Rhinolophus ferrumequinum: one gene and its partners. The protein of the gene in region 3 binds, or shares a complex with, the protein of the main gene of each other region. Links are inferred from orthologs where the notes say so. Each region holds a gene or a part of one and is shown on either strand. Other genes may lie near its edges. The genes, in order: MORF4L1, KAT5, MEAF6 and MORF4L2.

What was found.
Region 1: MEAF6 (region 3) and MORF4L1 share a complex: the UniProt entries of both Homo sapiens proteins name them as parts of the nuA4 histone acetyltransferase complex. The link is inferred for Rhinolophus ferrumequinum from reciprocal best matches to the Homo sapiens genes MEAF6 and MORF4L1.
Region 2: MEAF6 (region 3) and KAT5 share a complex: the UniProt entries of both Homo sapiens proteins name them as parts of the nuA4 histone acetyltransferase complex. The link is inferred for Rhinolophus ferrumequinum from reciprocal best matches to the Homo sapiens genes MEAF6 and KAT5.
Region 4: MEAF6 (region 3) and MORF4L2 share a complex: the UniProt entries of both Homo sapiens proteins name them as parts of the nuA4 histone acetyltransferase complex. The link is inferred for Rhinolophus ferrumequinum from reciprocal best matches to the Homo sapiens genes MEAF6 and MORF4L2.

Annotation. Positions count from the first base shown.
Region 1 is NC_046311.1:884,843-893,147, forward strand, and holds the start of MORF4L1 (mortality factor 4-like protein 1), read left to right. Parts: upstream 1-5,291; 5' UTR 5,292-5,439; coding exon 5,440-5,479; intron 5,480-8,305. UniProt on the Homo sapiens protein: Component of the NuA4 histone acetyltransferase (HAT) complex which is involved in transcriptional activation of select genes principally by acetylation of nucleosomal histones H4 and H2A.
Region 2 is NC_046294.1:6,048,428-6,056,667, reverse strand, and holds the start of KAT5 (histone acetyltransferase KAT5), read left to right. Parts: upstream 1-4,978; 5' UTR 4,979-4,993; coding exon 4,994-5,171; intron 5,172-5,492; coding exon 5,493-5,561; intron 5,562-5,652; coding exon 5,653-5,789; intron 5,790-6,055; coding exon of another isoform or gene 6,056-6,082; coding exon 6,083-6,238; intron 6,239-6,327; coding exon 6,328-6,402; intron 6,403-6,499; coding exon 6,500-6,574; intron 6,575-6,889; coding exon 6,890-7,138; intron 7,139-7,213; coding exon 7,214-7,303; intron 7,304-8,240. Other genes in the region: RELA (transcription factor p65), read right to left, coding at 7-13. UniProt on the Homo sapiens protein: Catalytic subunit of the NuA4 histone acetyltransferase complex, a multiprotein complex involved in transcriptional activation of select genes principally by acetylation of nucleosomal histones H2A and H4.
Region 3 is NC_046292.1:26,210,788-26,218,554, reverse strand, and holds the start of MEAF6 (chromatin modification-related protein MEAF6), read left to right. Parts: upstream 1-4,408; 5' UTR 4,409-4,471; coding exon 4,472-4,561; intron 4,562-5,736; coding exon 5,737-5,852; intron 5,853-7,767.
Region 4 is NC_046284.1:51,249,221-51,256,964, reverse strand, and holds the start of MORF4L2 (mortality factor 4-like protein 2), read right to left. Parts: upstream 3,062-7,744; 5' UTR 3,043-3,061; intron 1,947-3,042; exon of another isoform or gene 1,764-1,946; intron 378-1,763; 5' UTR 306-377; intron 1-305. UniProt on the Homo sapiens protein: Component of the NuA4 histone acetyltransferase complex which is involved in transcriptional activation of select genes principally by acetylation of nucleosomal histone H4 and H2A.

The DNA of each region.
Region 1 (8,305 bases), on a different chromosome or scaffold from region 3:
TCAGATCCTTCCATGTTGTCACAAATGGTAGTATTTCATCTCTTACCGCCGAATAGTATTCCATTGTGTATATATACCACAACTTCTTTACCATTCATCTATCGAAGGACATTTTGATTGTTTCCATGTCTTGGCCACCGTAAATAAAGCTGCAATGAACACTGGAGCACATATGTCCTTTATGGATAAATGTTTTCAGATTTTTTGGGTAGATACCCAGGAGAGGATTGCTGGGTCATATGGTAATTTCATTTTTACTTTTTGAGGAACCTCCACACTGCCTTCTATAGCGGCTGCACCAGTCTGCATTCCCACCAACAGTGTATAGAGGTTCCTTTTTCTCCTCCACAGCCTCTCCAACACTTGTTACTATTTGTCTTGTTATGATAGCCATTCTGACTGGGGTGAGGTGATATCTCGTTGGGTTTTTATTTGCATTTCTCTGATGATTAGTGATATTGAGCATTTTTTCATATCTCTATTTGCCATTTGTATGTCCTCTTTGGAGAAATGTCTCTTCAGGTCCTCTGCCCATTTTTCAGTTGGGTTGTTTGTTTTTTTGTTATTGAGTTGTATGAGTTCCTTGTAGATTTTTGGATATTAGCACCTATCGGAGGCATTGTTTGCAAAACCTTCTCCCATTCATTGGTTGCCTCTTTATTTTGTCCATGGTTTCTTTTGCTGTGCAGAGCTTTTAAGTTTGATATAGTGCATTCATTTATTTTAGCTTTTACTTCCCTTGCCTTTGGAGTCAAATTCATAAAATGCTCTTTGAACCCAAGGTCCATAAGTTTAGTACCTATGTTTTCTTCTATGCAGGTTTTTTGGTGTCAGGTCTTATGCTTAGGTCTTTGATCCATTTTGAATTAATTTTGGTACATGGTGACAGATAGCAGTCCAGTTTCATTCTTTTGCACGTGGGTTTCCAGTTCTCCCAGAACCATTTATGGAAGAGCTTTCTTTTCTCCATTATAAGTTTTTTGCTTCTTTGTCAAAAATTGTCCATATTTATGTGGTTTTATTTTCTGGGTTCTCAATTCTATTCCATTGGCTTGTGTGTCTGTTTTTCTGCCAACACCATACTGTTTTGATTATTGTTGCCCTGTAGTACAAGCTGAAGTCAGGGAGTGTGATACCTCCAGCATTGTTCTTTTTTTGTTAGGCTTGCTTTGGCTATTCAGGGTCTTTTGTGGTTCCATAAAATCTGATGATTTTTTTGTTCTATTTCTTTTAAAAATTCCATTGGAATTTTGATGGGATTGCATTAAATCTGTATATTGCTTTGGGTAATATGGCCAATTTAACTATGTTGGTTCTTCCAATCCATGAGCACGGAACGTCTTTGCATTTCTTTGCTACATGGTATTTTCAATTGATTTCAGAGCCTGCTTTAGCTTTTGAATCATCGTCTATTGTGTGAACAACAGGGCACGGCCGAGTAGAACACCGTCGGGCCCTAGAAAAACCCCAGGAACCTCAAAGCCACACGGGCCGAGAAGGCCCCTTTTCAGCCGTGTTCTGGTCTCCAGTCTTCTCTGCTGATGGCGCAGGCATTCCTGCTTGTGCATCGGGCACACGGGTGTCGGGCACCCTAGGTCCGCGCCACAGGCGTGTACTTCGCCCCGGGATCTCGGGGTGAACTGGCTGTTCCCGCTGGCGTCTGGTCTTGGCGGGGGTCTGGGACCACCTGCACCCGCCGCTGCGCCGCGACCGCTAGAGGGCCGTTTGTGCCTTTTCTGAACAGTAAGTTTGTGCGCGCAGAACCAGGCATGGAACGCACATTTGGAAGTAGTGAAAAACTTTACTGAAAACAATTATTAAAAAAAAAAAAAAAAAAGATGCAAAAAGTCAGTTTCAGAGCAAGTTAAAATAATCTTATTCCTTTGAAGTGAGCTAGGAATGGCACATTTCCTGACTGCCCGGCTAGCTCAGTCGGTAGAGCATGGGACTCTTAATCCCAGGGTCGTGGGTTCGAGCCCCACGTTGGGCGGCGGTTCGTTCAGTTTTGTTTTCCAGCTGCATTTTAGGTCTCGTCAGCGGTAATCATTTTTTACCAGCTTCAGTTCTCGTCAATGGTAATAACGGACTTCAATCTGGAGTCTATTTTCAAACAACACAGGACAAAAAACTACTAAGATTGAACAGATTAAAAGAGGGAACCGTGCAACTATAAGGCGATTTCATCTTATAAATACACAGTTAAAGGCTATCTGGTGTAGAGAAATATTTGTCACCGGGTGGTCTATTGAAGGACAGTGGAGTGCCAAAGGTCAGGGAATAAGAAGACAGGAAAAATAGTGAAACCGTGGCGTTCCTAAATATTGCGGAAGTGATCTCTGTCAAAACGTTTGAAATGTGTTTTTAACTTAATACTGTGAGATATTGAAGGTTAATTTGGAGATCAGCTCTACTTCACAGGATTCACTGTGCATATTAATTTCACATTTGTAAATTCCTTTAAGTAAGGACTAGTGATTATTATGGGCTGTTTAAACCACTGTAATATTGTGTTAGTTAGCTAGTCAGGTGGCTCTTGTGAACAGAACCTTAGGACTTTTTTATCCTTTGTTTTCCCTAAGTTAGTAATTCAAACTGAAGAATTTTCCCTTGGCCATTTTTGTCTTAAAACATATCTCAAAACAAGTAATTATATTTTCCTACATGTTTTCCTAAAAGAACTCAATTTCTTGTGGCAAAACTTTGCTTTTAGGTTAACACCTGCAAATTCTTTCCTTGTCTTATTTTCCATCATTCTCAGTAATTGTCAAGCATTCTCCACAATTACCATATGTTATTATCATCAATTCAAACACAATTTTAGACTTTGGAAGAAAGACATGGAAATTTTCAGCATCAAAAATGAAGATCCCTAAGTACCCCTATTACAGAGTAGTCCTTCATCGCTAGGTGATGGGAGGTGAAGTAGAAACTTTCTGAAGGCAACCCATGGCAGAGAGACGCCAGCTGGTGAGAGGTCAGGGAAGATGTCACATATCCATTTCACGTTGAAGACCAGCATTATGGGTTGAATCGTGTCCTCTTAAAATTCGTATGTAGGATTCCTAACCTCTAGGGCTTCAGAATGTGACCTTATTTGGAAATAAGTTTGTTGTAGATGTAATTAGTTAGATGTGGTCATAGTGGAGTAGAATGGGCTCTTAATCCAGTTTGACTGTTGTCTTTATATAAAGGGGAAATTTGGAGACAGACACACAGGAGAACGCCATGTGAGGATGAAGGCAGAGATTGGGGTGATGCTTCTACAAGCCAAGGAAACCAGAGATGGCCAGCAACCATGGAAGTGGGGAGAGGCACGGAACAGCGTCAGCCTCACAGTGGTCAGATGGAACCAACCCTGCCAACACCTTGACTTTGGACTTGTAGTCTCCAGAATTGTGAGGCAATACATTTGTTGTGTAAGTCACTCAGTTTGTGGAACTCTGTTATGATAGCCCCAGAAAACAGATCTTGTTACTGGTGCTAGGTTCCTTGCCCCTCTCAGGGTAGAAATCAAGAGAGTGGATGAAATAGTTTTGCAGAGAGAAAGGTTTATTAAAGCGAAAGCTTGATGTACAAAGGGAGCAGACTCCAAGAGAGAATGGATGTGGCTCCCTGAGGTTTACAGATACAGCAGGTTTCTAGGCTCTTGGGGTTGGGAGTCACCCCTTCCTCTCTCTCCCTCCCCGCCAAAGTTTGTTGAGGTGGGTCCTTTCCTGCGCCTGTGCAGTATACCTACAAGCGCTACTTCATTGCAAGTTTCATCTTAAATCTCCGCCTTAAGGTTTTTTTTTAATGTGATAATGAGGAAAAGTTAACTATACCGACAGCTCTTTAGTGTGCATGTGCTACTTTAGAAACTTTCCCTGGGCCGCTCATCTCTCCTGCGATTTTGGTTTTGTTATCTCCTTGTTTCTTGTTGGCCGTCCCTGTGGCTCAAGGATTTTCTCTTCAGGTGTAGGCTCGGCCACGTGACCACCCTACGTGATCACCAACTACAATATAATCAGTGTTCTAGTGGGTGGCAATTTTGATTGTAATGTTTTTTTCCTTATTAAGTAATTGTTATCTCCATTTCATTTAATTTCAAAAGCCTTGGGAAAAGCACTGGTTTTGTTTCGATGTTGGGGGAATGGGTGGGTAAAGGACTGAGGTGGGAAAGAAACTTTTCATTGTCTTCATTTTTATATTTTTAAAATTATGGATTATTGAATTTGAATTATTTTGAAGTATTTTGTGTTCAAAAGAAGAGGTGTACGGGGCAGTTTTGGTGCGGTGGGTGGGGTCACAAAGAGGCCCTTGCCTCTTCCGTTGATACTCTGCGGACTAGGACAGACAAGATGGTGTGTAGACAACTGGAATGAGGGTTCTTTGTGGGTGTTCAAAGAAGGGCTTGTGTTAGGAGGAAGACTGAAGGAGAAATAGGAGTCAGAGAAATGGAGAGAGGTCTGCAAGTAGTGGGGTGCTCAGCCGTTCGGGGAGTTGAGGGAAGCCATGGAGATAAGCTGAAGGCCTGGGGGGATGTCGAGGGCCTTTGGTGGAATGCCTTTGAGGCTTGTCCTCCTTCACGTTTGTCGAGCGAGGAATTCACTGTTAGGCACTCAGCCTTTTTGTGCAATTCTCACAATAAGTCGATTCGGCAGCTGAGCAACCTAAGGCCTTTTGAATGTGTGGTCAGCCGTTCACGATGTGTGTGTACATTCAGTAATAGCTCACAGAAACTTGACAAAAGGCTGCGCACGTGGGGCGGTGGGCACCCGACTCGGAGGAGGGTGTTACAGGTCGTTATTCACCTCGGCCTACTGGGAAGGCAGGTAGCGCGCCATCGTCTCCTGCCTCCCGCCGGGTGGGCTCTTCAAGCCACGCGCGGGCTGGCAGCGAGCTCGCAGATTGTGGCCGGACCGCGGGTCCCCAACGCTGCCACACGCACGCGGATACCCCTAGAGATGCCGTCGGAAGTACTGAAAGTGTTTAGACGCATCTTTCCTCGTAGGCCTTTCATGCCACATCCTGCTGGCCCGTGTCGCCCGTGGGGTTGCACACTGGGTCTTTCCAGCTCGTTTTCGCTGGCGAGGGACCGCCTCCAGCACCGCGCCCCAACACTGCCCCGAATCAGTCCGGGTTTCACCCACCCGGGTTGCGGGGCTGGGGGATGAGGGATGGGGGATGGGAGGAGCCCCTCCCCGCCCGCTCAACGGCTGGAACTACCACTTCCAGCATGCCCCGGGCGGCGCGGCGCAGGGCGCGTGCGCGGTGGGCGGTGGTTGGCAGGCGCGGCTGCGCAGTCGCGGCTGTGTGAGGTGTGCAGGCGCCGGCAAATCGCGCCCGGGATCTAGAGCTGGCGCTGCCCACGGCGTCTGACGCGGAGCTGGGTGGGCTGGAGAGTGGGGGGCGGTAGTGCGAGTGGTGGGAGAAGGAGGAGGCGGCGGCGAATCCCTATAAATGGCGCCGAAGCAGGACCCGAAGCCTAAATTCCAGGAGGGTGAGTCTGGGCCTTGGGAGAGGCATCTAACGGCGGCGGGGCGGGCGGGCGCGGCGGGGCGGTGGCGCGGAGGGGCCGAGCGGGGCTTCGTGCAGAAGCGCATTGCGGCGCGGCTTTGGGCGCGGCCCGGGCGCAGCGCTTTGTGAGGCGAAGGCGCTCGGCGGGCGCGGCGGAGCCTCCCTCAGCGTGTGTTGTGTGGGGGCGGCGGCGGGAGGGACGGGCGCCATGGCGGCGCGGAGGCGGCGATGTGGCGGGAGGGGCGCGGGCCCCCGCGGGGCGGACAACGGCTGGCGCTCGGGGTCGCCTCGGGCCCGGGGCGGCGGCGTTGGCTGGAGGCGCCGAGCCGCGGCGGGGCGGGCGGGGCGCCCGGGCTGGGGAGAGCCGCGCCGTGAAATGGCCGCCGCAAGATGGCCGCCGGCGTCGCCCTGCGCCCGCCTCCGCGGGGCGGCGGCGGCGGCGGCGGCTTTGTGCTGCCTGCAGGCAGCGCTTGGCGGCCCGGCGGTCGAGTGCGCTCTCGCCGGGCGGCTGCTCGTGAAGAGAAAGCCGCTCGGATGGTGTGTTACGAGGCGTCTGTTCACGAACCCTGGTGCCCTCGCGTCATCCTTCCAGTCCGCAGTGGACTCACGGCGGTGGCGTTTGACTAACTGGTTAGGAAGCTGAGTGAGTTTGGATTAATTGGCTTTTGATCGACGAGGTTTTGGGCTGACGGCAGAACCTGCCCTGCAGCGGAAGACAGCCCTTTGAGTTCACGATTAACGCGTCCGTTACCGTGTGTTCAAGTGGAGACGTCATAGGAAAGGAAAATGGAAGCAGAGACCTGTAAACAAGCAGGGACGCTCTGAAACGTACCTCGTTGCTGTGGATGTGCGAGCTGCTTGAGCACAGATGTCGAGACGGCCGCAAAACAATGTCTTTTGTTGTAGGGGTTTTCAAACTTGCGTGTGTTTTAGAATTACTTTTAGAGTCCTATGTCCAAAGCCCAAGTATTTTGTAACTTTATGGAATATTTAAGAGGTTTTTAAGGGTATTTTTGATAACGATGGGCTCCTAATAGCCGCTTTCTCCTACCTTGAGAAGCTGGGACTACCTCCTATGGGTATATATATATATATATTTTTTTACTTGTTATTTTAGAGCAGGATTCTTATTCTAGTGGATGTAATTCAGAAGATTCGTGAACTTGGACGGGAACATTTTTTTATTGTCTAACTGAAAATTATTTCAATTAGGAATATAGCCCCCCCACACACACACCAAAAAAAACCCGTGCGGTGGGATTGTTACAATTCCTGCCTCTAGCCGTCTGCCTCAGTATTAGCAATATGTTTTCATATCGCAACGTTACCGTTGCAGAAGGTACATTCAGTGTCATTTATGTTCCTCATTACTTCAAAATTATGCTAGTTACTGGATCAGTAGCTAAATGTTTACTATATCAGTTGAGCTCACGTAATACAGAAAATGATATTTAAAATGTTTTGCTAACTATTTCAATATAGTTGGTTTCCTGTCATACTCTGTGTTTATGTATTTATAATAACATTCTGGAAAAAAGGCCCATATGCTTCACCAGATCGTCAAGGGTCGATGATACAAAAAGTTAATCCCTAGTTTAGGACATCAAAGGAGGAAAATCACTGAGGATTGGAATTGTCGGGTAACTTTCTGAGGAGGAAGTGCTTTAGTTCTGAAGTAGGGGGATGGCAGCGTGAGGGGAATAACAGCAAATGAGTCCGTGTGCTGCAATAGTGGTGAATTAGAGAAGAGTGGAAACCAGGGTTCCCTTAGGTTTTTGAAAGCTACCTAAGAGAGTCTGCCTTTACTATCACTTTACAGATGTGTTTTCTTCTCCTGTCAAAGCTGAGTTGTATAATAACCATCGTTAAGAAATTATCATTATTTATATGACATGTTCAGAGGATATGTCGTAAGGAAAAAGGAATGTTATGTTAGTGCTGACAATTGTAATAGAACACTGCAGAAGAATTGAGATTATGTAATGGCGGAAATATGAATTATTAGAAGTATGTTTTTCATGATTCCTTTATTTTTTTTTATTAGAAGTATGTTTTTCATGATTCCTTTCTTTTTTTTTTTCCATGATTCCTTTAAAAACTCATTTTTTTCTCATTTAAACAATGGTGCAACTTACGTTATATAAGCAATTTTTAAAAGCACATTTTTTTTGCACTTGGTCTTCCACTTGAAATTCTGTTAAAGCATATGGTAAAGAAACTCGAGCACCTGGCCCATTGTCAAAGGGAAGGCCCTTTGCCTTGTGTCAGGAATTAAGAGACTGGCTAATGCTGGCCTTTGAGTTCCTAGTAAGCACAAACCAGTGGGCGAAAGGGGGTTTGGAATCTTAATTAACCTTGAATTTGAGAGCATTGGGCAGAATTACCTTTGTAGTTTGATACTAAAAAGGATTAAGAGTGGAGAAAGGTTTTTTTTAAAAAAAAAACAACATCTAATACGTGGTTTTCCTCTTTCTCCCGCAATTACCAGTCTTTCTTTTTACTACTTCATGAAAATCAGGCATATGTTGTCCTGGATCATAACTCTTCAGCCAGCCTATATTTTTCAACAGAAGATTTAGGGCCATGTAGCTAGAATGGAGGCCAAAGGGCTTAAGCCCAGTGCATTTGGTGGCGGCAGCCAAAAGGATGGTGAGGAGGAAGGCCATTTTCAGGGTGCTTTTAAAGTGTACCTGGAGAGGAGCTATGAGCCACAGATCTGAGCTTTGGTGCTGCTGTTTATTAGCTTATTTACATCCCCATGGTCTCCTTGCTCACAATATTCAACGGTGGCTCTAGCCCAGCTCTCTCC
Region 2 (8,240 bases), on a different chromosome or scaffold from region 3:
CCTCACCCTCCATGGCCGGGGTCCCGGGGGCGGGGCCGGGGTCGCAGCTGGGCCCGGGGCGCGCGTTACAGCAAAGCCATTCGCCAGAGGCGGAAATGCGACGCGCGCGCCCGCCGCCGCGTCACTGCCGGGAAGCAGCCGCGCCTGCGCGCCTCGCCGTCGCCGCCGCCGCCGCCGCCGCTGCCGCTGCCGCCGCCGCCCCCTGTGGGGCCGGGAACCACTGGGCGCTGCGCCAAGGACGGAGAGGCAGCGTGCACGCTGCTGCCGGAGACCGGCAGCAAGTGCGCCTTTCCAGAGACCGAGTCGGTCCGGAGGCCGCTGGCCGGGAGGCTCGGCTTGCTTCTGGGTCTGGGCCCCGCCTGGAGGGCGGACCCGGCGATTACTCACAATGTTTTTAGGGGATTTCGGGGCCCCCTCCCGCCAATCAGAGGAGTTTGGTGATGTCACCCGGGCCGGGTCTGGAGCAAACCTACGACTGCTGGGCTCCTGCCGCCAGCCCTGCTCAGGGAAAGGCCCGTGCCTACTCCGTCTTTGGCCGAGTGACTGAATTTCACAGTTTCCTAATCGCTAAAAGGTGTCTTTTGGTGATTGTCGCCGCAGAAGTACTTTTTAAATTTCCCATCCACACTAATTTAGATGCAGCGGAGGGAAAAGGGAAGGGCCCGGACCTCTTCACATGGCGGTGCTTTGGTCACTGGGCTAAGCGTGTCCTGCTGCACGCAAGGGGCGACAGAAGCTCCGTACTGCGTCCGCTATCGCGGGCGGACCGGGCCGAGAGCTTCTCGCTTCCAACTCAAACACCAGTTTAAGGTGCATCACACTGCCGGCCCTCGGTGGCAATGGGTTAAGCATAAGGCGCCCAGGGGTATATCAACTGGAGCCTCGTCTCTGCCACCTGACGCCTGTTATCTGAGAAGGTCCGGAACCCCCAGGGGCCGCTTAGAACTCGCCGTGTCTCGCCGCCGCACCCCACGCCGCCCGTCGTCTCCCTAGGACCTCCTGCAAGGGACCAGCCGTCGGCTAAACCATTTCCACTGATTAACTGTCATGTGATTCCTCAGGGGGATATTGTCCCCAAGTTCAAGCCCTAGGCGGCGTTCGTGCGGGATGAGGGTGGAGGCTGGGGCTGGAGCACCCTCCACCCCCGACCGGTTCCTCATCCCAGAATGAGGATGCTCCATCGCAGGCGGTGGAGCCTTCTCCAGATGGAAAAAGACTTTATTTTCTCTGAATTCGTTCTAAATTAAGGAATCTTATGGGAATTGGAAAAGATTGGAAATTCTGACTTGCTTTACCAGGCTCTGAAAAAACAGGAAAAGAAAAGTGAAAATAGTTACCACCCCTCCCACTCATTTCAGTTTCTCCTGTGGCTGGCCAGGATTAGGAAAGTCAGTTTACTTTTTTGAGGAGGCTGACTTTTCAAGTCCACAGAATGGGTTACTTATAATCTTTGGTTAATGACACACAATCATCATTGATCCTTGCATGATCCTCTTTTAAAAAATTCATATATATTTGTAACAAATCAATAAATTGAATTGTTGTGCTGACTGTAAAACTCAAGGGGCTGAATAGGACACCACCAGAACTTACATCTATCTCGGTGCTCCACATCTGTCCATCCCCTCATCCCGGTGTCCAGGGCACCACCATCTAGAATTCTCTGTTTGTTATTCCCTTGACGTTTTTTTTTAAAGAAAAAAAATTTACTCATATACATGGCTACACAAATATGTTGCTTGGTTTCGCTTACTTTTGAACTTCTATGAAGAGAGTATCTTGTTTTTTGTTACTTGCTTTTCTCACTCAACATATTACTAAGGTTTATGTTTCATAGTTCATTCACTTTTTACTGCTACATACTATTCTGTTGTGTAAATACACCGCAGGTTATTTATTTATTCATCCTGCGGATGGCCATTTGGACTTCCAGTTTTCACTATTACAAGCAGTGTGGTTAAGAACATTCCTGTGACTGTCTCCTGTTGTACATGTATCCAGGAGTTTTCTTCAGTATATACCTAAAAGTGATTTATTAGGGTATAGAATTTCCCATTATCAATTTTCAAAATAATGCCTTGGTTCTCTAGCATCCTCCAAAATTTAATGCATGCATTTTAAAAAAGTCTTAATGCATGGATTTAAACACTTGATATGCTTTAATCTGTTTTAATTATTCTTATTGAAGTTCAAATTGTTCCATCTTTGGCCACTGGGAACCTTCTGAAGTTGGTTCTTCGGTCCTTTTGACACAATTCCAATAGTGTCCAAGATCTGGAATCAGACAGCTTTCTGAGGAATTCTGATTCCTTTTACTGGGAAATGGTATTTAGAGACCACAGTCTGAGTTCTAGGGATACTTATTGCTAGTGGGTCAATCATTATGGACCTTTTCAGTGAACAGTTAGGCAATATATATGAGTATGTATATTTTTATATGAAATGCACCAGGAATTCATACTCATATCTCCTTTTCAAGTTTAGGACTACAGGGTTTTAACTTAACCTCAATCATCTTACATATTCTCTCATGTCAAAAAAATCTCAATTCTCTTTTTACAGAAATAGAAAAATCCATCCTTAAGTACATATGGAACCTTGAGGGACCCTGAATAACCAAAACAATCTTGAAAAAGAAGAACAAAGTTGGAGGAGTCACACTTCCTGATTTCAAAACTTACTACAAAGCTACAGTAATCAAAACAATGTGGTACTGGCATAAAGATAGACATATAGACCAATGAAACAGAATAGAGAGCCCAAAAATAAACCCTCACATACATGGTTGAATGATTTTTGGCAAGAGTGCCAAGACTGTTCAATGAAGACAGTCTTTTCAACAAATGGTGCTAGGAAACCTGGCTAGCCACAAGCAAAGGAATGAAGTTGGACCCTTACCTAACACCATATACAAAAACTAACTCAAAATGGATTGAAGAGGGGCAGCCAGTTGGCTGAGTTGGTTAGAGCACAGTGCTCATAACACCAACATCGCCGGTTCAATTCCCACATGGACCAGTGAGCTGTGCCCTCCACAACTGGATTGAAAACGACTTAACTTGAAGCTGATGGGTTCTGGAAAAACACAGTGTTCCCCAACATTCCTCTTAAAACATACATACATACGTACATACATACATATATAGATGTAGCCGGCCCGGTGGCTCAGGTGGTTGGAGCTCTGTGCTCCTAACACCGAAGGCTGCCGGTTTGATTCCCACATGGGCCAGTGGGCTCTCAACCATAAGGTTGCTGGTTCGACTCCCGCAAGGGATGGTGGGCTGCGCCCCCTGCAACTAACAACGGCAACTGGACGTGGAGCTGAACTGTGCCCTCCACAACTAAGATTGAAAGGACAACAACTTGACTTGGAAAAAGCCCTGGAAGTACACGCTGTTCCCCAATAAAGTCCTGTTCCCCTTCCCCAATAAAATCTTAAAGAAAAACAAAACAAACAAACAAAGAAAAAAACAATAGCTAACAGGCAACTAGTTATGGCAGCTAAGGTGCATCTAAATAACGAAACACTATGTAGCCATTAAAACTGTGCTGTAGAATATTTAATGACTAGTGTTCAATTTATGTTGCTAAGTGAAAAAGCTGGTCACAAAACAGTATATACAGGAAGAACCTATTTTTGTATTCAAAAGATAGCACAATAGTTTATAGAGCAGGGGGTGGCCAACATTCTCTGTAAAGGGCCAGATAGTATTTTAGGCTTTGTATTTCAGACACAATTATTCAATTTTAGTGTGAAAGCAGTCATAGACAAAAAGTAAATGAATCAAAAGTATGGCTATGCTCCAATACAACTATATGTGGACACTGAACTTTGAATTTCGTAATTTTTATTTGTTGTGAAATATTCTTTTGTTTTCTTAACCATTAAAAAATACAAAACCATTCTTAGCTCACTGGCTGTAGGAAAACTAGCAAAGGATTGGATTTGGCCTGCAGGCCTTAGTTTGCCCACCCCTAGTTTACAGGACATTCTACCAAAATGTTCATGGTGGAAATGTCCCCCATGATGATCTGAGGTTATTTTCTCCCCCTACTGTGGTCTAGTTTTCTGAAACAGTACTCCGCCCCACGTCCCCTGCACCCCCAACTATTTGCAAGGCTCTTCCGTTGTTCCCTCTCTAAATCTTTCCTTAAGTATATACACTTCCATCAGTCCTGCCCTCAGCACCCTATTTAAAATTGCAACCAACCTGCCCATCTCCTTTACCTTGTTCATTCTTTTTGGTTTCTCCAATCACTTTTGAATAAACTAAGTAATTTACTTTTTAATATATTTACTTTTGTTATATAAACCCAACCCCCAACAATGTAAGCTCTATGAGAGCAGGGTTCTATTTTATTCACTGATGTATTCCAAGATCCTAGAACAGTGCCTGGCACACGTTACATTATTAAACATTTGTTCAATGTATGAATGAATAATGTTGTATTACTTTTATAGTGAGAAACCTAATACAGAAAACAATCTAGAAACCTTCCGTGAGTCCCCATCCTTAACGAATGAAATCCACAAACTTGGCCAGGCATTGAACTCCCTTCATAGTCCCGCCCACTTCTCCAGACCCGCCCCCCCCCGCCCCCGCGAGCACTCGCAGTTCACAGCGAGTGACCTCTCCCACCGCCACTTAGAGACGCTGGAATCCCGCCACCCCCAAAGCACAAACACTACGCCCACGTGACCCGCGCTGCGTCCACGTGACCGGCGTCGCACCCGGTGGGCGTCACGTGACAGACTCAGCTTTCCTCCAATCGTTGTGCCCGTTATGGAGATTCCTCCCAGGACCCAACCCGAGACTTAAAACACCCTATTTTCCCGTCCCCCAAACAGGTCGGTTCCCCGCTTCCAGCTGGGCGGCGGTGTATTTCAAGGGTCTCTTCTAAGGCGGTGTCCGGTGGTCCGGGCCTACTGCACACTCAGTCCCGGAAGTGACGTCTCCCAGAGGGGCCGGAAGTGTCAGTGGAGGGAGGGAAGATGGCGGAGGTGGTGAGTCCGGTGCCCGGGGCGGGGCGGAGGGAGCCAGGGGAGGTGGGTAGAGCCCGAGGCCCCCCAGTAGCCGACCCTGGCGCCGCGCTGTCTCCCCAGGGGGAGATAATCGAAGGTTGCCGCCTGCCGGTGCTGCGGCGGAACCAGGACAACGAAGATGAGTGGCGTGAGTGACGTCGGGGGGCGGGGCTAAGAACCTGAGGGCGAGGGGCGGGAGTCAACCGAACCCTTGGGAGGGGGAGGGGCTTCGAGAATTCTGGGGCAGGCGGGGCGCAGATACTCAGGAGGGGCGTGGCTTTTAGCCACTCCGAGATGGACAGGGCGGAGCGTGGAGAGGGGTTGGCACTGGGTGACTAAAGGGGGCTTGGGTGATAGCTTCCAAGTGCTGGGGCTTAGAGATCAGGCCTGGGGGTGGAGTTCAGGTCTTAGGAAGGTGGAGCCTCATGGCCTGGCGGGTCTAACGCCCCTGCCTATGCTGTTCCCACAGCCCTGGCCGAGATCCTGAGCGTGAAGGACATTAGTGGCCGGAAGCTTTTCTACGTACATTACATTGACTGTGAGTGCTGGGCCAGGGTGAGGAGGGGCTGCAGGGTAGGGTTGGGAGGCAGTCTCTGGCATTGCTTCCTGAGACATCCCCACTGCTGCAGTCAACAAACGCCTGGATGAATGGGTGACCCACGAAAGGCTGGACCTGAAGAAGATCCAATTCCCCAAGAAAGAGGCCAAGACCCCCACCAAGAACGGACTTCCTGGGTCCCGCCCCGGCTCTCCAGAGAGAGAGGTGGTGAGTAGGTCCCCTACTTCACCTCTTCTCTTCTGCCTCCTACTTCTCTCATCTTTTGGCCTCAGTGGCTCCTGGATGGGCTGGAGCAGGCCACACCCTCCCACCCTGGCTTCAGCTTGTAAAGAATGGGGGCCAAGTTGCAGATGTAGCTTCTAGAGTCCAGCGGCTATTCCTGTGTCCTTGAGAGGGCAGCGGGTGGGGTTTGATCACTCCATGCTGAGGAGCCCCTATTCCCCTTCCCCATCCTACCACCATCCCCACCCCAGAGGAAGACCCTGGACCTATCTCTACAGCCGGCCTCCACCCAGGCCAGCGGGAAGACCTTGCCAATCCCGGTCCAGATCACACTCCGCTTCAACCTGCCCAAGGAGCGGGAGGCCATTCCCGGTGGCGAGCCCGACCAGCCGCTCTCCTCCAGCTCCTGCCTGCAGCCCAACCACCGCTCAACGGTACCCTCAGCAATTCCAGGGACCTTGCTTTCCTCTCAGGTCCCACCTTCTCTACCTTCTGACCCACCTTTCTTGGTTTCTCTCTGCAGAAACGGAAGGTGGAGGTGGTTTCACCAGCAACTCCAGTGCCCAGCGAGACAGCCCCAGCCTCAGTTTTTCCCCAGGTGAGTCCTCCAAACCATCTCTTTCTTCTACCTCCCGGTAGCCCCTTTCAGACTCACCTCACAGCCACCCTTTCTGTTCCTACCATCTCACCTACAGAATGGATCAGCCCGTAGGGCAGTTGCAGCGCAGCCAGGACGGAAGCGAAAATCAAATTGCTTGGGCACTGATGAGGTAGGTCTGGGGAAGAGGGAAGCTGGATGAAAAGGAGGAGAGGTGGGCGGGGTGGCAAGTTTAGTGGCTAGTTTAAAAATAAGGAGTGTTGGGCAGCCATGGTGTTGCTGGGATTGGGAGCCAGGCAGAGCTGGTTCAGATCGGTCATTGGGTGATCTTTCCCAAGTTTTGAATGAAAACTTTCCATGTCTTGCATTCTTTATCTGGAAAGTGGGAACTATAGTACTTCCCTCGAAGGTTAGGCTTGAACAAGGAAACGTGTGGGGGAGCTGTAGTGTTTCCCGTAACACGGTGTCTTCCACTGGCCCTGAGCAGGACTCCCAGGACAGCTCAGATGGAATTCCATCAGCCCCGCGCATGACTGGGAGCCTGGTGTCCGACCGGAGCCACGACGACATCGTCACCCGGATGAAGAACATTGAGTGCATCGAGCTGGGCCGGCACCGCCTCAAGCCGTGGTACTTCTCCCCGTACCCACAGGAGCTCACCACGTTGCCCGTCCTCTATCTCTGCGAGTTCTGTCTCAAGTATGGCCGTAGCCTCAAGTGTCTGCAGCGCCACTTGGTATGAGGGGTCCCAGGAGGCCACCCTCCTAGCACCCCCACCCTGCCCCACCCCTGACCTTTCTCTCTTCCTCAGACCAAGTGTGACCTGCGACATCCTCCAGGCAATGAGATTTACCGCAAGGGCACCATCTCCTTCTTTGAGATCGATGGACGCAAGAACAAGGTCAGTGGCTGAAGGACAATAGGGAAATCTTGGAGCTGGGGTTCGGGGAAAGTCAAATGAGCACCTTGTTCCTATTCAGGAAAACACTGAACAGTCTGGCCAGCAGATCAGTTCACCCATTTTTATTGAGTTCTTGCTGTAGGGCAGGTGCTGGGAGGTATAGACAACCAGGAATTGGATAAAATCTCTGCTGAGAGCTCACAGTCCATAGGGAAAATAGACGTGCCAACAGTGTGATAAATGTCATGAAACAAAGGGTGGCTTGTTAGGACCCAGAGGAGCTAGTCATCAAAGCTTCACAGAGAAGGTGACTTATGAGCCTTGACATAAAGAATAAGGTGGGCAAGGGAGTCCCAAGCAGTGGGGTCCTGAAGGGCAGGCGTGGATGTACAGGTGGTGTGACAGGCAAAGACCCTTCTGGCTGAAGGGCAGAGAGAAAGAGGCAAGGCTGTTAGAAGGGACAGAGCTCAAGTGGTGGGTGGGAATGGCAGTTGGAGAGGAGCTGGGAACACCATAGGCTTGGCGCTTCAAACCTGCCTTAGTCTATGGCTGTGGAGAGGAAGGAGTAATCTGGAGGGACCCTTAAGAGAGACTTTCCTCATTCCTGGGGTCCAGAGGGTGCTGGGGGAGAGGCAGGCATCTTGACTGGCGGGGGAGAGCTCTGGCTTGGGTGCTGGGGGAGCTTGAGAGGAAGTTGCTGCTTTAACTGCTGGTTCTATATTATAAGTGGGGACTTGGGCGTCCAAGTGACAGTGCCCAGCAGGTGGTTAAGGAGCCATGTCTGGTGCAGGAACAATTGTGTTTAGAGGTAAAGGAGCAAAAAGAATTCTCCTGGGGGAACTCCTAAGGCTGATATTTTGTTAAATTCCAGAATTTTTCACCTCAGTTGTAGACTACTAGGTCAGTTTTCAAGACGTGTGACCGTGTTGTATTTTTT
Region 3 (7,767 bases):
GTAGCTTGGTTTTAAAAGGCTTAGAACTTAACATTTTCAGATTGATTATTGATATTGTACTCAAATGGTGATATTTTTTAACATCCTTCCCTTTGTGGAAATCTGTGGATGTGAGGAATGAAATTATATTAATCAAAGCCTAAGTGTGACACACCACACACCAGCAATGACTGCTTGTGAGATGACGTTCTCAGACCACGATGGTCCTGGGTATGTGAATTTACATCAACTGAAAAGGCTACTTGATTGAAATGAAAGCTTTGGAATTGGAAGCTTCATTTGGTCTCCTAGGTGAAGTTTCCAGTATATTTATCAAATGGGAAACAATTTTAAGACAGTTAATTTGTTCACATGTACTCTAAAGTTTTACAGTGAATTAATTCACTAAATCAATAGTTGCATAAGCTTACCATGCTCGCATTTGATTTACAGCTGTGAGTTAGAAGCAGGGAGCAATAATTTAGAGGTGGGCTGCACCATGTGCAAGAGATGGCATTTAAGGTATGCCTTAGAAATGAAGTGGATTTTGCATCAGTAGAGGAGGGCATTGTTTCAGACTGAGCAGTCCAGGGGACAGCAGAGCTGGAGTGGAGGATGTGGAAAGGATCCTGTAACATTAAGTTGTTTACCTGAAGACCCACAGCAAATTAGTGGTAGAGCTAGGATGAGAACCCACCTCAGTCCTGGTTCAGTGGTCTTTCCTCTGGACTGTGGCTTCCCATCTCCCTAGCAGAGCTTAGTGAAGAGATCTGAGGAGGGAAAAGACAGCTGGTGCATTAGGCTGTCCATTCATAGGGGGTTCAAGGAAATCACAATGGCTGGGATTTCCAGGGATAATGAGGGGCTCAGGCAAATCCTCACCTCACCAAGTCATAGCCAGAGCTGCTTGGAAATCATTATGTTGATTCATAAAAGTAAACAAATGTTCAATAATCAGGTAGCTGAGAATTGCCATGAACTGAGACCTCAATGATAAAACTGGCTAAAACTTAGGCGTACTTTCTATGTATAAGGCATAGTTTTAAGCATTTTACATGTACATTGATGCATACCTTGATACCTTCACACTTCTTCCTCATAATCCTACGAGGCAGGCTTCTTTTATCATTTCATTTTGCCGATGCAAAAACTGAGGCACAGAGTTGTTCAAGTCACACAGTGGTAGGTAGGACCGGGATTCAAACCCAGTCACCCTGGTTCCAGATGCCACATGCTTAACCACTGTGATATACTGCTTCTTAGAGCCATGAGAGTTAACAAGATCTGGCCGTCAAAGAGCGATATAACCAGTGCTAGAGCTACAAACAGTGCTAGCGAGGAGAAGCAGTGGGGATTATGGAAGAGAATAAGTATAAGCACAGAGAATAAGCACAGAGAAATAGTATTCAACCAAGCCTTAGTCAGTTACTCAGAAGAGGCCAGTGGGGATGAGGAAAGAAAGGAATATGAATTTCTAGGCAGAGAGACTAGCACTCAGAAAGATCTGAAGTAACAAACTAATGAAACTTTGGAAGCACTTGAAGTTCAACAGGGAAAAAAGGGTGAGTGAGACTTCTTTCTGGTTTCTGAACCCTCCTGCTTGAAAGTAGCTAAAATTTCTGGATAAAATATAAGCAAAACAATTTCTTAAAGCATTCAAGAACCTACAAATTAATAAAACAGTTGTTAGGCAAAAAGTGAAGATAAATAAGAATCCAGAGAGAAATGGACTGTAGATGTCTGGAAGCCACATTTGGTCTAAAGGCAAACCACATTTGATTCTAGGAAATCAGATCTTACCCTAGCTTGAATGGGACAGAAATCAAAACCCAAAGCCCACAGGCAATAGTCTAATAGAACATGATTCCCACAAAAAGCTGGTCTATCAGAGGTCTATAACTTTTAGAATAAAAGAGTGGATCAGAAATTGAATCTTCCCAGGTATTTATAGCCTGGAAGCTCAGGAAACCTCGGGCCTTGAACTTGGTTTAGGATGACCCGGTGCCTCCAGGTGTCTGAAACAAATGAAATTCATCTTTGGAGGAAGGGACTTTTTTATCTCCCCTCTAGTTATTTCCACATTTCCCCCCAAAGATACAATTATTTTTATTAATGAACAAGAAAAGGCACTATAGGTGAGAAACAACAGAAATAACGGGTTGGCCCGGTGGCTCATGCTTCTAACTCCGAGGTCGCCGGTTCGATTCCCACATGGGCCAGTGAGCTGCGCCCTCTACAGCTAAGATTGTGAACAACGGCTCTCCCTGGAGCTGGGCTGCCATGAGTGGCCAGCAGCCAGCGTGAGCCGCTAGATGAAATGGACCAATTCTTCAAAAACCATAAACTACCAACATTTACCTGATAGGAAATAGATTATCTGAATAGTCGTACAGATATTAAAGAAATTGAACTTGTAATTAAAAAGCTTCTGAAAAGAAATATCCACACCCAAATGGTGGAAGAATTCTACCAAACATTACAAGAAGAATTAGCACCATAGTGTACCTTCTTTTCTAGAAATTAGAAAAACAGAAAATACCTCCCAACTTATTTTATAAGGCCGTTATTATTTTGATACCAAAGTCAGACAGGAAAGTACAGACCCTACACACCAATACCCCATGAACTTAGCCACAAAAATCCTCAGTAGAATATTAGCAAATTGAATCTAGCAATATATAAAAAGAATTACACAACATGGTCAAGTGGGGTTTATTCCAAATATGCAAGGCTGGTTCAACACTTGGAAACGAATCTGTGTAATCCACTACACCAAGAGGATAGAGAAGAAAAATCACAATCTGACAAAATTCAGATTCAGGAAAAGAATCTGACAAAATTCAATACCATTCATAATTAAAAACTGTCAGTAAACCAGGAATAGAGGCGAACTTCTCAACTCGATAAAGAGCATCTACAAAAACCTTACAGCTAACATCACACTTAATGGTGAAAGACACTACTTTCCTAAGACAGAGAAAAGGTTAAGGATGTCCACTCTGACCACTCTTATTCAACAGAGAACTGGAAGTCCCAGCCAGCACAGTAAGGAAAGGAAAGGAAATAAAAAGCACACGGGGTGGAAAAGAAAAAATACAACTGCCAATTTGAAGAGGAAATGATTATCTGTGTAAAACATCCCAAGGAATCTACAAAAACACCTCCTGAAACTAATAAGGGAGTTCAGCAAGATCCCAGGTTACAAGATCAACACACAAAAGAAATCCAGACTGTAGCAGAGAGAGACAAAAAAGATAGTGGGTAAACAAAATGAAGGATTATTATGTTTAATCTAGAAGGAGACAGAAAATGAGGCAGAGGCATTATCTGAAGGAAAAAAGCTGAGAATTTCCCAGAACTGGTGAAAGATACCAAACTATAGATTGTAGAAACCCAAAGACTTCCAAGTAAGGGGAAAAGGAAGAAACGAGGAAGGAAGGAAGGAAAAAGAAAGGAAGGAAGGAAAGAAGGAAGGAAGGAGAAAGGAAAAAAAGAGAAAAAAGAAGAAAAAAAATCCTATCGAGATTAACGATAGTGAAATTTACATAACTGAAAATTGGAGAGCGCTGAGGCTGGAGAAGCAGGGCCCAGGTGAAAACAGTGAAGGAGACTGCACTTAATGAATAAAGCTAACACTCACATAGTCCTTATTACTTGCTAAGCCCCTTTACAGACATAAAGTGATTTACTCCTCACAGCAATTGTATTAAGTAGGTACTATTATTACCTCCATTTTAGAGATAAGGAAGTTGAGACAGTGAAATTTGGTTACTTGCCCAAGGTGGCTCAGTTTATCAGTGGCAGCTAAGGTCGGATTTTGAACAAGGTAGTTCTGGCTTCGGTTTTCGTTCTTAACCACCACACATACAGTACTTGTCTCTCTAAAGGGCAATGAGAAGCCATTGAAATGTTGAAACCAGGGGAGCGACACATTCGTTTTCCAAAAACAAGTTATCCTGGCACCACTGTGGATGAGAGATTAAATGCAGTTTAAGTGTGGAAACAGGAATCTGTTGGAATAATGTAGCCAAAAATAGGGAAGGCCGGGATGCCCGAGGGAGATGGCAAACACAAGTAAATAGATTTGCGGGCTCTTCCAGGGTCCAGGGAACTTCGTTTTGTATGGGATGAAGGGGGTGAAGGAATGAGGCTGATGCCCAGGTTTTTGACTTGGGCAACTCGGCGGGCCGTTTAAGTCATTCGCTGATGTGACTTAGGAGGAGTCTGGTTTTGGCACGGTGAATTTGCAGCGCCTGGAAAAGTCAGCCGTCCCTGAGGGGCAGAAATGCCTGTAGTGCCAAGACTAGCAGATTGCCCCACCACCGCGGGCCTCCAGGTGAGCGCGCGCGGGACCGAGGCCCAGAGCGCCGCCAGGCCGCGTCTCCGGAAGCCGCGAGCGCAGGCGCAGTGCGGCGCGGGCGCCCCCTGGCGGGCGGCGGCGGGCAGGGACCGCCCCCACCACCCGGCGCCGCCGCTGCCGCCTCAGCCCAACATGGCGATGCACAACAAGGCGGCACCGCCGCAGATCCCGGACACCCGGCGGGAGCTGGCGGAGCTCGTGAAGAGGAAGCAGGAGCTGGCGGTGAGGGGCTAGCACCGGGGACGCACGGCGGAGGATCCGCGCCTGCCCCCACCTCCAGGCCCCAGCCCCGGCGCGCCAGGCCGTTAGGGCGCTGCGCGGCGGCCGACAGTCCGGCGGCCCGAGGCTGGGCTGCGCATTCCGCGGCTCGCCGGCGCCTCGGCTTCCTGGCTATGCGGGAGCCCGGGCCCCGAGGGCGGGGCGAGAAGCCAGGAAGAGGAAGGAAGACGGGGAAGGGGGACTAGGCGGGCGGGGGGCGTGGAGGAAGGATGGCGCGTGGGGCTGGGGTGCTTAGGTGTGGGAGCCGCAGAAAGGCAGTGTCCGTGAGCTTTGGGGGTGGGTGAGGGCGGGCGGGTTCGCAATCTTTGAGTGGGGGGGGCGGGCGTGTCGGTGGGCTGTAGGGGATTGGTTCGGGCTTGCCTGTGGGCTTTGGCGGGGTGGGGTAGGAGGCGTCTGTGGAAGGGGGACCCAGTCATCCAGTCTGGTCTTTGGAGGATGGAGGGGCGCATGTCCTTTTGGGAACTAGGAGTAGATCCATTGGATGGAATTTTTGATGGGCAGGGATGTGATGTGTTTGGGAATATCTAGAAGGTGACAGCCGAGGGGAGCGGATTCAATCTAGGGAATAGGAATGTGACCCAAGGTCTCATGCACCCTGGTGGCTAAGCCCTCCCTACCCCCCTGAGTCTTGGCTTGGGCACCTGGGAGGCTCATCTCACCTGAAGCTGCCCTTCCAAGTTTCCATAGCAACTGGCTGACCATTGCAGGCAGCCTTTTTGAGCCTGCGGGGAGGGGAGCGACTTGGCGCTGGAAGGCTACTCGCCCTTCCCTCCCCACTGGCATTACCTTTTATGAGTGGAGCCTGCCTGAGCTGGGGTTTTTGACAGCTGTGTTTCCATGAACCCTCTGAAGTATACACAAAATTTTGCATGTATGTACATTTTTCAGGGGACAGGCTCTCTATATTTCATTCTATTCTCAAAAGGATCCAACAAGACAGGTCTAGACTGTCTTAGTCTGAAACAGCTTGTCCCTTCACATACCATCTGTCTCTCCACAAGGGTAGTTGAGTGTAGTTGTGCTTGAGTTTCTAAGTCTAATATTAAGGTTTCAGTTTGGTCAGACTTAATGTTTGCATTTAAAAGGCATTATCCGTTTCCCTGTTTTTCATCTCTCAGGAAACACTGGCAAACTTGGAGAGACAAATCTATGCTTTTGAAGGAAGCTACCTGGAAGACACTCAGATGTATGGCAATATTATTCGTGGCTGGGATAGGTATCTGACCAATCAAAAGTGAGTGTCAGAAAGAGTACAGTGTTTGTACTGTGACCTACTAATACTTGTTTTTAATGCTGTATATATTGGTGGCAACTTTGCAGGGAGGCAGAACTAAGTAGCAGTGTGGAAAGAGGTTTGCGCTTGAACTTTGCACTCTGGCTCAGCCTCGCTGAGTCATCCTAGACAAAGCCTACATCCATAGACTGGTCGATAGTACAGGGGTGTGAGAAGCTGAAATGAAATACAGCCTATCCTACCTTACACAACAGCATTCTCTTAGTGTCTTCCACATTTTAAGCAGTCATGAGTTCCACCGTCACAATATTTGCCAGACCTGTGTGCCAACCCTACCACTATTTATTTAGTGCTATTAGTCTTGAAAACTTTCTAAACTTTTTGAAATTTTTAAAATCTATAGAAAAATGGAAAGAATAGTACATGAACACTTGAAACCCTTCGCCGACATTCACCGATTAACTTGCTGCATTTACTTTCTTGCTCTTTTCTCTTTTTCCTCACTATTATATAAACACACATACCTGTATTTACATTTTAAAAACATTTTGTTTAAATTTTGAAATCATTATAGATACGTAGGAAATTACAAAAATACTACAGAGAGGTCCCATGAACCCTTCACCCAGTTTTCCCCAGTGGTTTTTGTGTAACTATAGTACAATATCAAAACCAGGAAATGAACGAGTACAATGTGTGTGTGTAGTTCTGTCATTTTATCATTGTGTATAGATTCCTATAACCACCACTGCAATCAAGATGCAAAACTGTTCCATCACCACAAAGATCTGTTATGCTACCCTACCCCTGTGTGATTGTATCTCCCTTTTGCCCTATACTTTGGGTTTTTTTTTTCCCTAAACCATTTAAAAGTTAGAAACAGATATCATGACACATTGTCCCTAATTATGTCAGCAATTATCTCCTAAGAATAAGAACATTTTTCTTAGTTAACCACAGTTATCATGTCTAGAAAATTAGCACTACATTAAAAGTATCTTCTAACACACAGTGTTTATTCACATTTCCCTAATTGTCCCCAACATGCTTTGCTACCTTGTTTTGATCCAGTCAAAGTTTTTCATTGCATTGATGTTTCTTTGGTTTCTTAATAAGAGCGTCTTCCACCCTTTTTGTTGGTGAAGTTGTGGTTTACAACATTGTCTTGTAGATTGTCCCAATTCTAGATTTTTCTTACTGTGACCTCATGAGCGATCCTTTAAACATTTTTGGCAGAAATGTTGCATTAGTGATTTGTGTACCTCTTGTTTACCTTTATTTTATTAGGCAGCACATAATGTCAGATTGCCCCATTATTGGTGCTGCTAAGTTTGATGATATGATTTCTCCATTATGAAAGCTTATTTTTTCTCTTTGTAATTGACAAGTAATTTTGGAGCTTATACTTTTAGACAGTGGGAATATATTGCTCCCCACAAATTTTATTCACTGGTTTTATTATACATTGTTGATTCCTACCTGAATCAGTTATTATACTGGAGGTTGCAAAATGGTGGTTCTAATTTTACTGTTCCTTTTACATTTATTACTGGTATTCTGAAAGAAGAGCCTTCCCCTTTTATCTTCTCTCCCTTTCATTCTATCTCTGTCTCTCTTTAGTATCACTATAGACTCGTGGATTTATTTTTAAATCGGTGTTGGGATCTAGTGCTGTCACTTTTTTATTGTTGAGGTTTTATTTTTTAGTATAAATTAATTTATTGAAATTGATAGAGAAGTGCACAAATCATAAATATACAGCTCAGTGACTTCACAAAGCCAACACACCCATCGTTAATCCTTTTTGATGCTAGTTTGTCCCGAATGTGGCCAGAGGGAGCCTCCTCAACCTGATACCTTTGTCCTTTTGATATGATCCTATTAGTGTCAGCGCTTTGTTTCTGTCATGTCCTTT
Region 4 (7,744 bases), on a different chromosome or scaffold from region 3:
CTTAATCACTAAATTATGCTGCATATGGGATGCCACAAAGTAAGAAAAACAATATATGGATGTATGGAACTATCAGGGATCAATTGTAGTATCTTTTATCAAGGAATGTAAAATTACACAGTCCTCTGTTTTTTAGGCACTTTATATACTGGAAGCACCAATGGACTCAGCTCCACCCTACTCAGAATTTAGAGTGATTTCCCAGATAGACGCTTATTAATCTTTAAAATATTCCTGGACAGTTAAGAAGGTTATGTGGAATGATCTTGCTTGAGAACTGAGGCCAGGAGAAGGGAGACACTTACCTAAGATTCTGTAATCAGGATCAGATCTTCTGATCCTTATTATACAGCAAACTTAGCTTTTCTGATAATGGCCTAGAAGGTTAAACAAGGGGACGGGAAAGGGCACAAAATAAAGAGATATGAGATGATGGTTTTCTTCTCTGTCAATCAATGCATTTTATCACACACAAAGGGCACCAAAGCTGATAAATAATGTACAAGTGTTTCTTTTTCAGTTCTTGTGGTTACATTTTCAAATTTATTGTATCTATCCTGATTTTTGATAAAGTAATTTGTTTTCGCTTTTGGTTTTTACTTTTCATTAGGGAAAATGTGAAATGCATAATATCTGAAATTATGTAGAAGGAATATTATAAACCCACAAGAATCTATCATCTAGCTTCAACAATTACCAACTGAAAGCCATCTTGTTTCATCCATAACCCCACCCACTGCTCCCCCCAACTCCGTTTTTAAGCTCACCAAATAACTGAGTTTCTGTATTTTATGGGAAATTTCCAACACATACCAAGGAAGACAGAACAATATAAGGAACTCTATATGCCTATCACCCAGCTTAAACGATTAACTTAAGAGCCAATTTTGTTTCATCTATACCCCCCCAACTTCCCCCTATTGCTGAGATTATTTTGAAGCAAATCCTAGTCATCAACGTATTTTGAAGCAAATCGCAGACATTTTATTATTTAATCCGCATTTTCGTATATATCTCTGTAAGATAGAGACAGTTTGAAAACATAACCACAATACCATTATGACGTCTTAAAAAATCAACACCCATTCCTTAAAAACACATCAAATATCGAATACGTATTCAAATTTTCCCGATGCATCTTAAACATTTTTTTTTTTTTACAGTTGGTGTGTTTGAATCAGGATCCAAACAAGGCCTACTCATCGCATGTGGTTCATCTCCAGCTCGCCCTCGTTCTCCATCTTTCTCCCCCTCCCCCCTTTTTTTAAACTTTTCAATATGGAAAATTCCCATCCCCGCTATTTTGAGGTAATTCCCAAATAGCATATTATTTCACCAATAAAGATAGTTATGTTTCTCTTATATCTCTAGTTTCTTCTAGGGAATAAGTTGATGGGCAGGAAAAGCACTATAATGAGCAAATTTACATAATTTGTTTTTTTCTCATTCTGTTACGCAGGTTTTTCTGTCCACAATAACAGTTAACATCTTTCGGAGCCAGGCTTCCCATTAAGTGCTTTATACGCACTAATATACATAGTACACGCCTCTGAGGTACACGTCTCTGAGGTAGATACTATTATTATCACCATTTTACAAACATGGAAACCGAGACACAGAAAGGAGCCAGCCCGAGCTGGGCGTTGGCGAGTAGGAATCTGAATCCAGCTCTGCCCGATCGTGAAGCCATGAGTTAATCTTGCCTAGATACTCGACGAGAAGAGGAAATCGTCAACCCTTTCTCCCCACCCCCACCCCGAAACCTGAAACGAGAATCCAGCTCTTTCCAGCAGCCGACGTGTGCTCACTGCCGTCCCTCGAACCGCCATAGTAAAGCCAGGTTTCTCTGGCAACTGATATCCATAGGCAGACACGTCACCCTGGAGGCGGGCTCATGACCTTCAGCCAATCACAGTCGTCTTGTCTAAGTTTTAGAATGTTCCATGACCAAATGATTGGACGAGGCCAATCACGTCACAATGACACTTCGCCGCAGTATAAGGGGGTGCTAGCAACCTGCTTCTTCATGGTTAAGACTTGACGCAAACCAATCATCTTCTCCCTGTAGTGCGGCTCTGGCCAATAACGTTCACCCTCTTAGGTTCTGAGCCCACCCTCCAAAATCGCAACTGTAGTTGGGTCATAAGTCTATAGGGCAGGGTGTTCACGTGGCCTATTTTCACGACCCAGAGTTCCCCTGACCAGAGGTTCTTTTTTTCTTTTTTTTTTTTTTTTTTTGCAGGGAGGCATTATGGGTTTTCATTCCCCCCACTGGGAAAGGAAGTGTCTACGTGGCCTGCGGAAACAGGATGGGCGGAAATGAGCTAAGGTTCCCGCGAGTGGGGAAGCGCGAGGTCAAATCTGGGGCCACGCCCCTGAACCACTTGCGCAACTCTTGGAGAAAAAGAGGCACAACGGGGGTGGTGGGCGTGCGGGCGCGTGGTGGTGGGGCTAGTGTGGATGTGCGCGGACGAGCTCGCGTGGTCTTGGGATTGGGGTGCGTGCGCTCCAGCCCTCGTGGCGCTGGACGCGGTGGGTATGCGCAAGCGTGCGCGCCTAGAGTCGGGGCCGGTGTGTCCCAGAGCGAGGATGTGCCTGCGTGCGTGTGCGTGCGCGGCGCGTGTGCGTGCTCTATACTGAACATTTTCTTATGTTTGAAAATTGTTCTAATGAAAAGGAAAACAAGCCACGGCGCCCATCATAAATAACGGGCCTTTGTTAGAAATATTTCGGTCTCCCCTATCGATTCAATTTTAGACCCTAAAAAATGTACTTCTCACTTTTTCCGGCCACAATCCTTTTCTAAACCGTAGCCCTCCGATGGTTAAGAGCCAAACAAACCCACGCATTCCCATATTAGCAATTCCAAGGAGCAGCTTTTCCTGTTTGCTAGTATCGTTCTTCCACTTCTTCCCCGAACCCCCCCCCCCCAATTCCGTGTAATTTTTCTGGCACAAACAAAATTTTCTGCTGAAAATATCTATACGATAGGCTTCCCCTCCACTACGAGCTCCGAATTTCTGTGGCGGCGGAAGCTCTCACCTTTTTGTCCTGATCTCCAAGCACAGTGCCCTTTAAGCAAGTACGCACTCAGTTAATTTTCCAGAAAGTTCTCTGGGTGAGGGTTATACCTCTTGAGTCTGCCACGAGGTGCCGCCAAATCCCAGCAAAGAATTGCCTATTTGGTCCCTGGAATGATGGGATTTTTATTCTCCCCCTTTCTGATTTCTGAACTCTTCAATCTATAGGGATCATGTATATCTTTCATTGCTAGGGAAAATCAAATTAGCTTTTATAAATAGCTCTAGACAGGGGACTATGGCCCTAGATCTAAAGGTTTTTTCATTTCTTTCCTCCTTAAAAAAAGCCCCCCTTCCATCCCTCTCTTCTTCCTTCTTTGCCTTTTCTTTTGGGGGAGGGGGGACGGTAAGAATTGATGAATGTCACCAGACACTAACGCTGATGAAGATCCTAACCTTTCTGTGCACTTTTTCAAATGCTCAATATCCCGTCCCCCCCCCCCAAAAAAAAAAAGAAACCCCAGAAAATAACAGGTGGCTGGTTAGTCAGTAAAGACAGATAAGAGCTTGGACCCTGGCATTGAAAACTGACCTTCTCTTCCTCTTGAAATTTTTATTAGATATGTGTGTTTGCGCCCTATTTTCTGTAGTGGTACTGCTAAACTTTATTACGTCTTTGGAGTCAGAGACCTAATTTTAAACCCCATTGCACCACTTACTAGCTCTGAGAAGCCCGGGCAAACGATTTATGTTCTGTGTTCCTTAGGTTTTTGCATGCTTTCCATATTTTAGATGCTGTGTCATATCCTTTACATATATGTTATTTTATTCTTCACAAAATCCTTATTAGATGGGTAATAAATCAAAATCGAACAACAAAAGTTATACCTCTTTCAGTTATCAATCATGCGCGCGCGCGCGCTCGCACACGCGCACACACACTGGGAGGGAGGCGGGATTTAGAGCAGTGGTTCTCAGTGTGTTTCCCAAACACGTCAGTACCATCATTATCACTTTTCGAGAAGTTGTCAGATTCAGATTCTCGGGCCCCATCTCAAACCTAGTGGATTAGAAATTCTAGGGGTAGGGTTTGGCTGTCGCTGTTATAACAATCTGTTTGGGTGATTGCAATGCACACTGAATTTAGAACCACCGCTTTGGAGGGCAGAGATGCAGTGCTTATTTTTCTTTGCTCCACTAGAGGGTGCTACAGAATTTAAAGCAAAATAATAAATGATATATGTTTTATTGAGATACCCTGCATATTATCAGTCCCGTTATACAGATTAAAAACTAATGTGTAGAGGTGTCAAATTATTTTCTCAGTGCATACAACTATGGGAACCAGGATAAGAATTTCACCTGTTTCTCGAGCCCAAGCCCTTGACAGTACTCTTTTGTTCAGCCATCATAGCTTATCTTTCTGGGCCTTAAAATACATTACAGATACCTTGTTCTCTGCTTTAGCTATGTTGACTGGAGCATCAAGAAGGGGGCAGGAAAGCAAACTAAATAAATGGAAATATTTTAATGATTTCATACTTTCCCTCATCTCCATTCTATACTATCACATTAAAGCTCATGTGTTTCCCTTCTTGCTTTTATATTTCCCAAATGCTCTCTACCCTGCAGTTATCTTTTTTAGTTTATTTCTGAACCTCTCCTATGTGTGTGTGGGGAATCAGGGTGGTGAGGAAACACAGTTGTTGCAAGCCTATTATGGGCCACACTATATGGCTCTGTGCCCATTAATCCCAACAATAGGCCTGTAAATTAGGTAAGGATTTTCATCATTTTATAGATCATGAAGGTGAGCCCCAGAGCCTATAATTATTTTTCTTTGGTCATATAACTTGTAAGAAATAGAGCCCGGGTAATTCCTGGTATATCTGACAGTACTACCCTGCTAAACTTTCTACTGCTTGGTTTTCAATGTGATTTAGTGTCGTGCGCAGAGTCCAGCGGGGTCTCTGGTCCCGCTCCCCACACAAGAACGCAGGATATGGCTAGGCCAAAAAGGAACACCCACGGAGCCATAGGTAGGGGAGTCACACCACTATACTCTCACTGGCGGCTGGGTTGGAGACACAGGAACCAGGAGCAACACAATTCTCAACCCTCACTGTGCCGCTTGCAGGCTCAGCCACCATCTTCTTGCTAGCCCCCATTTTCTCTTTTTGCTACTAGCCTAGCCACGGCAGTTATATTCATGGCTAATGGCTCACTGGTTACAGCTGATGGCCAACTAGCCACAGCTGCTGGCCATTTGATCACAGTCAATGGCCATTTACTACCTGAGCCAGCACCTTTCTATGTGAGGCCGAGAGCCTGGAAACTGCTTTTTGGGGCTCTGTCCCCACATTTAGTTACTTAATATTTATGTGACTTCCAACAAGTTCTTTAACTTTCCTGAGCCTTAGTTTCACTGTATATTAAGTGGGAATAATTATTCCTCATAATCTTAGAGCTGCAGTATCCAACATGGTAGCCACTAGACATATGGGTACTTAAATTTGAATTAAAATTAAAAATTCAGTTCCTCAGTTGCACTAACTACATTTCAAGGGCTCAGTAGCTACTTATGGCTAGTGTTAGTACTGGCGGGTCCCTGGGCAGGCCTCCCCAAGATAGCTCACAATGGCATATTGATTATTTCAAATTGAAATCACTTGAGAAGCAGCAGGAGCAGGAGGAGCTCTCTGACTCTCCAAAAGCAGGAAATAAATCTCCATGTAATAGGTGCTCTCCCTTCTCCTGAGGGCTAACAGACAACCTTATCACAAGAGTTATAAAATCCAGAATCAAAAAAGCCTATATAAACAAACTTTGTGAATCCTTTACTAATTTACTACTTAAGCCCAAACTGCTTAGATTCCTTTCTAATGAGCACTAACTTTCTTTGTCTTGTTCATTGCTCACAGAATTATTGTTTCTTTGTCTAAAAAAATAAAAAGGTGCCTAGTTTGATAATTTTTTAATTAAACTTATTGGGGTGACATTGGTTAATAAAATTATATAGGTTTCAAGTGTACAATGCTATAATACATTATCTATATATTGCATTGTGTGTTCACCATTCAAAGTCAGGTCTCCTTCTGTCACCATATATTTGACTTCCTTTTGAGCCTTGTTTTGTGACCTGAGCATCATATTGTGATTCTCTCGTGTGCACGTATTAAATTGTTTTTTTTCCCTGTAAATCTAGTCTTGTGTCAATTTTATTATTTTACTGTTGGTCCAGCTGTAAGAACTAAAGAAGGGTAAAAGTGGGGGATTCTCCTCCTCCCCAATGGTACCATATTAGATACCAAGAGATAAAGAACATTCCCACCATGACAGAAAGTTCTATGGAACAGTGCTGATTTAGACTATATAAGGTATGTAAAAGGGCCTAGCATAGTGCATATTCATGGCATGTGCCCAAGAAAAGTGATTCCCTGATCTTTCCTTTCAGCATCAGAGCTAGGCAGGTTCTCCGGTTTTATTGATAGGGTCAGGAGAGGGGAGTAACTTACCCAAGGTACTATAACGGGGATGCGTCTGCCATTAGGACCCAAATCTCCTGACTCTCGCTTCCATATTCTGTCTAGTAGACTCATCCTTGTGCTCTACTGACTGAGGTCTCAAGGCCAAGGGTGTGAATAATGTGAATTAACTTCCGAGTCAGGGTAGTAGCAGGAAAAGACACAGCTGAATGTCTTCTAGGTATGTGCCAGGCAGCACTGCTCAGCTCTTTACATCGATTGTCTTAGTGAATCCTCACTGAAGCCCAGAGAAGTTAAATGCTCACTCCAAGTTGCCAGCTAATAAATGTCAGAACAAAGATTCTGACTTCTCTCTGACTCCCAAGCCCATGTTTTTGTCCCATTGTGCCATGTTACCGTCTCAAATGTGAATACTCTCCTGTCCCTTCCACTTACTAGTGGGATGAAGCTTCAGCAGATTCCTGACTCTTAGTGGGTCCTCAAAATGGGAGTTAACTCTTCTTTGGAATTTACAGCTGAACCACTGTCTTCACAATCTGCTTCAACTGGAAGGGAAAGATAGCGTAAGTCAATGTTTGTTTGGCTTCAAGGCCTGAACAAGACTATTTACAGCCCCAGCCTTTACAGAACATTCAGTGGCTCCAAGATCTCTATGTCACTTTTCGAGGCCACATTTGCTCATTCAATCCCTTTGTGCTGATCAGAAGCATGTGACACCTGGGGGGCAGATATTGTGCAAACAAATGATCAGTGGAACAATGAGAAAAATACTTTTCCTTCTCAGGGATGTTGGAGCTTCACCAGGGCAGCTGAAGAATGAATTTCAACCTCCACTTGTTCCATTTCAGTTGGGTAATCTTGTGCAGGGTGCAACCTTCCCTGGCCATCAGTATCTGCTGGCTTTGCGTATCTTACCTCGCGGCTAAGAGAGCCTTCCTAGGTCTGGAAAGTAGTGCTCAGTCTGTTCTGGAGGGTGGTCAGGGACATCAGTGTCCTCGCCTGTCTTCCGGGTGGAAGATAAAATTGCTCCCTTCTAAGGTCAATTGGATATTTTTTCACTTGGTTCTGACTACTTTATGGGATGATTTTTAAAAGAATGTTTGGTTAATTTAAGTTAAAAAACCCTAATATTTCAAGGCTAAGCAGAATGGTGTTTCTTTAATAGTAGTGTTTTTCTATCTATTTATACCTGCCTCATTCCATAGGGATTTCCTAAAACCAGTTCAGCAAATTAGTCTG